2 linked regions of the Yarrowia lipolytica genome follow. The protein of the gene in region 2 purifies or fractionates together with the protein of the main gene of each other region. This does not show direct contact. Links are inferred from orthologs where the notes say so. Each region holds a gene or a part of one and is shown on either strand. Other genes may lie near its edges.

Evidence for each region.
Region 1: the proteins of YALI1_C16204g (region 2) and YALI1_F07675g purify together in Saccharomyces cerevisiae (affinity purification with mass spectrometry, with the first as the bait; 3 studies listed by BioGRID). This does not show direct contact. The link is inferred for Yarrowia lipolytica from reciprocal best matches to the Saccharomyces cerevisiae genes SPT5 and RPO26.

Annotation. Positions count from the first base shown.
Region 1 is NC_090775.1:766,474-769,535, reverse strand, and holds YALI1_F07675g (uncharacterized protein), read left to right. Parts: upstream 1-1,850; coding exon 1,851-1,879; intron 1,880-2,000; coding exon 2,001-2,430; downstream 2,431-3,062. Other genes in the region: YALI1_F07655g (uncharacterized protein), read right to left, coding at 2,738-3,062. UniProt on the Saccharomyces cerevisiae protein: DNA-dependent RNA polymerases catalyze the transcription of DNA into RNA using the four ribonucleoside triphosphates as substrates.
Region 2 is NC_090772.1:1,618,844-1,623,988, forward strand, and holds YALI1_C16204g (uncharacterized protein), read left to right. Parts: upstream 1-1,579; coding exon 1,580-4,522; downstream 4,523-5,145. Other genes in the region: YALI1_C16200g (uncharacterized protein), read right to left, coding at 645-1,229; YALI1_C16255g (uncharacterized protein), read right to left, coding at 4,845-5,145. UniProt on the Saccharomyces cerevisiae protein: The SPT4-SPT5 complex mediates both activation and inhibition of transcription elongation, and plays a role in pre-mRNA processing.

The DNA of each region.
Region 1 (3,062 bases), on a different chromosome or scaffold from region 2:
CGGAATTCCTCAAAATCACTTTGCGTCACGGTACATAAGACATGCATCTGTCGAAAAATATATTTAGCTGGGTCAGGGTGGTGTACGGGAGCAGTGACCATGCCGCTGGTACTGTACCTACTGTTGTGAAACGGTAATGGAGTTGGCGAGCACTACCGGTAGCGGCGAAGTGGGTAAAATGTACGCCCTGTGTCTTTAACTAGCCAATCAGAGCGTTCATAAAAAGGAAAGTCCACTGGATTTGCCACAAGCCATGCCTTTCTAGTTGCCATTGTAACACCCTCACGCTCTCTCTCGCACTCCGCTCGCCACCTTACATCCTGTATCCTGTAGCATACATTTGACAGCGTCTGTGCAAACCAAATACGAATGACATGAATGCCTGCAGGAGACGCAAGTGGGCCCAGAGTGAGCCACCGGGGCCTATCATATGTCCTACGAGTCATTACAAGGTCTCATAGCGGATTGGGTGGTGGTTGCGGAGCCTGTTGATTACTTGGGCGTTAGTTGGAAGACAGTAGGCTGATGATGAAGATTCTGGTGATATAGAGATGCCGCAAGGATGAAAAGTGGGTTTGTGGACTATCAGAGAGAGACAAATGGAATTATTCCCGAAAACTCCACCTGCTATATACAATTTTCACGAGATTTCGTTATCGTGGATAGCACTTAGATGCAACAACTACACGACATTGTGTGACAGTAGAAGTGAAAAATTCTACAAGTATCAGTACTGATACTCTGATAATCTACAAGTATCGGTACTAGTACATACTGTACTCTGATAACCTCTCCGTGTACAGTCATATCATCAAAATGTATACGCAGTCACAGTCCCTCATATTGAAACGGGCAGTAGCTCGCAACACAGCATTGTATGTGACAATGAGGGAGGATAACTACACCAAGCAAGTGAGGAGATCACCCTGATTCACATGGTAGTATTAATATCCAAAACATGGGGTACCTGGGACGAGTAGAGTGGCTCACAGGTGTGTTTCTACCCGAAACTGGTTGGACACCGAGGTGAAATCGTGAATAGTTGAGATACAAGGTAACAAAAGACGGGAACAGATTATTCAGACCCGGTTAGGTTGGTTTGACTGCTGGAATTTCGGATATGCAATTCTCAACGCCGTTCAGATCAACCCTCTTGTTACGCTGGCAGGTTATGAAGGGAGAGAAGAACAGATTGTCAACACATTACGTGATCAGATATCATCATCATCTCAGACATAGTGAGCATATTTAAATCGTCTGTATTGGTTGTATATCAGTTACTAACATACAACCAACAAGCACGAGTACATACTGTACTGTACTTGCAGTCGTAACCTGCTCAGATACTCCTAGATGTTTCAACTAAAGTTCTAACAAAGTATCAATGTCTTTCCCACAAACCAGCATCAACATATCAACTTTTTTTGTATTGCAAGAGAGTCATTTTAATTCATATTAACACTTCTCAAAGCTGTATAATTCAAATGGAATAAATACTAAGCATCTACCATTACTGTAACATTGTATTTGAACCTCCAGCTGACTTTTGATCTTAACAAATCTCCAAGTAATCTTTCCCATAATCCAAACCTCGCGCAGTAAGTAATCAAAAAACAAGACGACAGAACGTTCATCCGGAACACACAAGGTGCCAACAACCCACATCTCTGAAGTCGCGAGACTGTTTCTCTTCGGCGGTCCCCGCCTCCCCGGGCCAAATACTTCTGGCTCCTCCTCCATTGCAGCTTAGTCATATTGAACTTTGATTGTTTTTTTTTTTGACTGGGAGTACATCAAACCTTGCGTGGAAAAACCATCATCACCACATTTCAGTACCACACTTGATCATCATGTCTGATTACGGTGGAGACGAGGAAGCGTGAGTAGGGGTAAGGAGCGCCAGGAGGGATCACGTGCGTTTTATGGGGACGAACACGTGACTCGCGTCGTCCGATTACGTCCACAACATGGCCCAGCACCCAGCGCCCAGACTAACACAGATTCAACGACAACTTTGAAAACGCCTACGAGGAGGAGTTTGAGGAGCACGTTTCGGATGTGGAGGAGAACGGCGAGGAGGTGAAGACGGACGTGGCCGAGGACGGACGTCAGATCGTCAACGGAGAGGGCGTGGAGAACTTTGAAAAGGCTGTGCGACGAAAGACGGTCCGAGAACTGGCCATCCCTCGAGAAGAGCGAACTACCACCCCATACATGACCAAGTACGAGCGGGCCCGAGTGCTGGGTACACGAGCGCTGCAAATCTCCATGAACGCGCCCATTCTCGTGGACATTGAGAACGCCACGGACCCTCTGCAGATCGCCATGAAGGAGCTGCAGCAGAAGAAGATTCCTCTGGTGATTCGAAGGTACCTGCCCGACGGCTCCTTCGAAGACTGGGGATGCGACGAGTTGATTGTCGATCAGTAAGTAATTGTAAGATAGCATAGATGGTTTGGAAAATGGAATGTGTCCTGTAGAGTACTGGTCGCCGTACATAGGTGCATGATCATGATATTGTATCACGTAATGTATCTCAGTAAAACGTCCGGGGGCCTTTCTCTCTTGGACTCGTTCATCTGTGATGGTTATAATCGATGTCCCTTACATCCAGCTGATTCATCCATCTGGTGCATCCATTTGAGCTGAGACTGCTGCTCGTTTGTCCTTTACGATGGCCATACAATATAATACATTTTCTACCTCTAACCGTTTTACTAGTAGCAGTCCCTTCCTTCTACTCTCCGTAAATCCAAAACTGACAGAAAATGACAAAGTCAAGGAACAGAGTGCCAATGGCTCCAAGCAGCCACGAGGCGTTGATGATGAGATACTGCCGGCTGGTATCTTTGAGCAAAATGGAAGCCACAGCAGTGAGGTTGCCGAGACAGGCAAACAGGAAGAACATGAAGGAGATACCCTCGCACGACTTTCGCTCGTAGTTGAGCACAATCTGAGGCACCCGAGAGCCCAGGTAGAAGGCAGCACATAGCCAGCCGAAAAACTGACCCAGCATGTTCATCTCCAAAGGATCGTCGTGGGGCTTCTCGGGCTTACCGTCC
Region 2 (5,145 bases):
TGTATCGGGTAGCTGGGTGGAGGGGTTTTGAGCGGAGCTCCGAGCTGCAACATGGATTGTTCAAACTCTGTTGGGTGGTGCATATGCATAATGTGGAATTTATTGGGAATTTAGCTTGGATTAAATGATAATGATTAAAACAGGGATTAGTTATTTATAAAAACAATCTGCAAAAAAAATGGGGGAAAAATGGGAAAAAATGAGAATAAAAATGAGAATAAAAATGAGAGAGAAAATGAGAGAGAAAATGAGAGAGAAAATGAGAGAGAAAATGAGAGAGAAAATGAGAGAGAAAATGAGAGAGAAAATGAGAGAGAAAATGAGAGAGGAAATGGGAGAGAAAACGACTAGTTGATGCTGTTGTTATTGCTTTACCATACTACACACGACCTAATAGTTTTTTATGTTGATTGACGGACTCTCTCCTATGTAGGAAGTCCAACAAGTTCAACTCATGGTCTGTTGTGATAGCCCTCCTGATCCAAGAGATATAACCAAAAGGGCCCGTTATCATCCAATCTGAAACATCCGCGCACCACATTCACACACATTGTCTTCATTAGTCCATTCATTACTTGCCGGCCGGTTTCTTGACACTCCCACTCCCACATCCCTTCCACACTCGTCATGCTATATACAATCCATTAAATGACAGCGTGGGTGGGGAACTGTGGAACCGGCTCCTCGGCATGCATCAGATAACGCGACAGTTGACAGCTCTTGCCAGTGATAGGCAGAATCAGCCGGAAAGCATCGTTGGAGTTCAGATAGTATCGATGCAGACGTTTGGTACGCACAAATCCGATATTTTCGTACAGGCTCATAGCAGCCGCGTTGTTGACCTCGGTTTCCAACATGATTTCGTCCGCCTTGAGATCCACCATGGCTGCAATCGCCAGGTCAATCAGCTTTTTGGCGATACCTTGGCCACGGTAATCTGTCTTGACAGCCAGCATGGCTATGTATCCTCTCGATCGGCACCCACGGTAGTCCTCCAGCTTGCAAACCACCGTTCCGATGGCCTTTTTGTCCATGGACCCGTCGGCCTGCTTCTCCTCCTCGTCTTCATCAAATGCAAGAAAACAGAGGTTGGGCCATGACGAAATGAAGTATCTGTAGACGTAGACCGAGTAGGGCTCGGACAGGTCGTGGGAGATCATGCCCTTGACACTTTCCGTGTCATTTTGTTGGTTGGCGGTGTCGTACGGTCGGTAGCTGATCTTCACCATTTTTCGGGGTATTAATCACAATTAATGAACTACGTCCCAGCTTGGAGTAGTGGAAAATCAACCCTAACCCATAAATCATTATCCACCATGGTGAGGAGAGAGAGGTAGCGAATTGGGGTGGTTTCCAGACATGTTATCGGTGAAATATGAGATTCAAGCAAATCCTTGTCTGCCTCATTTCCCACGAATGAGCGTTTTTTCACCATTTTGCCCGATTTGATCCCCTTTTGCTCACATGATCTCTTTCCACTCCCCTCTCATTAGTAATCCTCCCACTGAACCTTGTGAAGGTGACGTAAAATTCCAGCACAGGAATAGCTATCGTTTCAACATCAAACATCACCACGAAAATGTCGGATCGAGAAGAGTCTGGCTCTCCCGAGCCTCGGTCCAAGATTGAAGAAGATCTCGAGAGCGACGAGGAGGTGAAGACCATCAAGAGCGAAGAGGTGGACAAGACACAGGACAACGTGGAGGACGAGGACGACGAGGAGGAAGAGGAAGAGGAAGAGGAAGAGGAAGAAGAGGACGACGATGAGGAGGACGTGCGGCAACGAAAGAAGCCCCGACGGGAGCGAAGAAACCAGTTCCTGGATGTCGAGGCCGAGGTGGATGAAGATGAAGAGGATCTTGAGGAGGACGAAGATGGACTCATTGGAGAAGACGGATTCGTTGCTGAGCCTGATGCCGACGAGCCCGATGCCTCGGACGACCGATTCCATCGAGAGATGGACCGGCGACGAGAAGCCATCGCCGAAGAGGATGCCGAACGACTGGCCGATGAGTACCGAGAAAAGTACGGTCGATCGACAGCCAACAAGTACCGAGGAGACAGTGGAGTGATCCCCCAGCATCTGCTGCTTCCCTCTGTCAATGAGCCCTCCATTTGGGGTATTCGATGCAAGCCCGGCAAGGAAAAGGAGCTGGTTCGACAATGTCTTCGAAAGAAACTGTCTCTACAAAAGTCCAGAAACCCGCTGGAAATCATGTCCGTGTTTCAAAGAGATACCTTCACCGGATACATCTACATGGAGGCCCGTAACCAGCAGGCTGTGACTGTGGCTCTTAAGGGTCTGGTTAACGTCTATCCTCAGAACATGATTCTGGTGCCCATCAAGGAGTACGTTGATCTTCTGCGAGCCACCAAGTCTGCCGAGACTGAGCTCGTTCCCGGCGCATACGTGCGTCTCAAGCGAGGAAAGTATGGCGGCGATCTCGCCATTGTCGAGAATTTGTCTGAAAATGGTCTTGAGGTTCGTCTCAAGCTGGTGCCCCGTCTCGACTATGGACGAAATGCAGAGGCTGGAATTGACGGTAAACGAAAGCGAGTGGCCCGAATCCCTCCCCCACGACTCTTTTCTGAGCAGGAGGCTTCTCAGTATGACCCTCGAAATCTGCAGAAGCGTGGCCCCAATGCGTACGTTTACGCGGGAGACGAGTACATCGGAGGCTTCCTGTACAAAGATTTCAAAATCACCCTGGTGAACGCCGAGAACGTTGCGCCCAAGCTTGAGGAGCTGACCCGTTTCAACTCTGAGGAGACTGACGGTATCGATCTGGCCTCTCTTGCCCAGAGCCTTCGAAAGTCTGCCGCGGCTGTCCAGTTTCAGGGTGGAGATGTCGTCGAAGTGTCTGAAGGTGAGCAGACCGGTGTTCAAGGTACTGTCATTTCTACACACGGCGATATCGTCACCGTGGAGGCCACGACGGCTCCTCTGGTTGGAAAGCGCATCGATCTGCCTAGCCGATCTCTACGAAAGAAGTTTGCCATTGGTGATCACGTGCGAGTCATTTCCGGTAACTTCCTCGACGACACTGGTCTGATTGTGGGTCTAGAGGACGACTCCGTGACTCTACTGTCCGATCTCAACAAGAAGGAAGTCACAGTGTTCGCCAAGGATCTCAAGAAGGTGTCTGATATTGGAGGTTCACATCAGGTCGGTGACTACGAGCTCCACGACTTTGTGCAGCTTGACGCTCTTCATGTCGGTTGCATTGTAAAGGTGGAGAGAGACAGTCTGAAGGTGCTCGACCAAGAAGGTACTGTTCGATCAGTCACTCCTTCTTCTATCACCATGAAGCTCACTCGAAACATGGAAGGTCTGGCCACCGACTCCAACGGTTCTGAGATCAAAATTGGCGATACTGTTCGAGAGACCGTCGGTGAGGGTCGACAAGGTGCCGTTCTTCACATCTACAAGAACACTCTGTTCCTCAGCTCCCGATCTCTCGGCGTCTTTGTCGCCAAGGCCTTCAAGGTTAATACCATTGTTGCTAAAGGAGCTCGAACACAGTCGAACTCTCAAGCAACTGGTCCCGATCTCACCAAGATGAACCCTGCCGTCTACAATGCCCGACCTGGCCAGATGGCTCCTCCCGTCATGCCCAAGCAGGGAGGTTTCGACCGTCTCAAGGGCAAGCATGTTGCTATCGGGCCTGGTTCTCAACACAAGGGATGCAAGGGTATTGTCAAGGAAACCACAGACGATATTGCTCGAGTCGAGCTTCACGCTCCCTGCAAGGTTGTCAACGTTCTGAAACACCAGCTGCGAATCTACGACGATTACAAGAAGACGTACCTGTCATACATGGAGTTTGCTACTCCTAGAGGTATGCGATCGGGTGGTGGTCGTCCTGGAGGGCCCCCTGGTCCTGGCGGACCTGGGTCTGGTGGACAGACCCCGTCGTGGGGTGGTGGTGGAAAGACCCCGTCGTGGGGAGCAGGTGGAAAGACCCCGTCGTGGGGAAGCAAAACCCCGTCGTGGGGTGGGGCAAAGACATCGTCTTGGGGTTCGCGAACACCTGCTGCCAATGCAGGAGGTGCACAGACACCCGCATGGGGAGCAATGGGAAACAAAACACCATCTTGGGGCGCATCAGAGTCTCGCACCCCTGCATGGGGCGGGGCAAAAACTCCAGCTTGGGGAGCAGCTGGTGCTGGGTCGAAAACCCCGGCCTTTGGAGTCGCACGTACGCCTTCGTGGAAGTCGTCGTCTGCAGGAACATACGGCGGCTCTTCTTCGCGAAACAAGGGCTGGGAAGATCTCGGAAGCGGCAACTCGGCTCCCACTCCAGGCTACGCTGCTGCCACTCCTGGTGAGATGATGGGTGCCCCTACTCCAGGTGCTGCTCACCATCCTTGGGAAGATTCTGCTCCGACACCTGCTGCCTATAACGACGCGCGAACTCCGGGTGTCTATGATCCTCGAGGTTCTGGACCTGCTCAGGCCGAAACCCCTGCAGCCTGGTCCACGGATGATGCTCCTCGATATGATGATTCTCCCACTCCTTAGTGGGACGTGTGTGTATAATAAATGATTGTGTATTATTCTGCAATATAGATATGAGCGGCTTCCGCGTAGAGGCAATTGTGTGGCTGTTGTACATTACATACTATACTGGTGTAAGTGGTAGATTGAACTTCTGGGCGGTGATCTTCGATTACCAGCGTACTGTACTTGTATGATTAATACCATCAGCGCGTATATAATTACGATCGCACTGTAGGTGAACAAAAAGTAGCAATATCATTGAACAAACAACTGACTTATTCGTTATGCTTTATACCACTCGTTAGCATCATAGCTGAAAAGTTCGAGTCGTTGGTCTCATCAGCTACTCCACGTAACTTGTGGGGAAAGCACCTCTTTGTCCGTTCAACTCTCCCTCCGTCCATCCATCTCTATCGGGCTCCACCACCACAATCTGGTCACCGGCCTTGATCGACAGCTCGGTATCGTCCTGGGCATTGTAATCATACAGTGCGGTGACGTAATCGACCTTTTTGGCACCCTGTTTGGGCGCGACAGGAGGACCCTTTCGTTTGATTGAGAACGCAGACTTCAAGCTTCCACCTCCACCTCCAGAGGATGGTGTGGTGGCACTCTTGGGAGGGTTCATGTCGACATATGAAGCA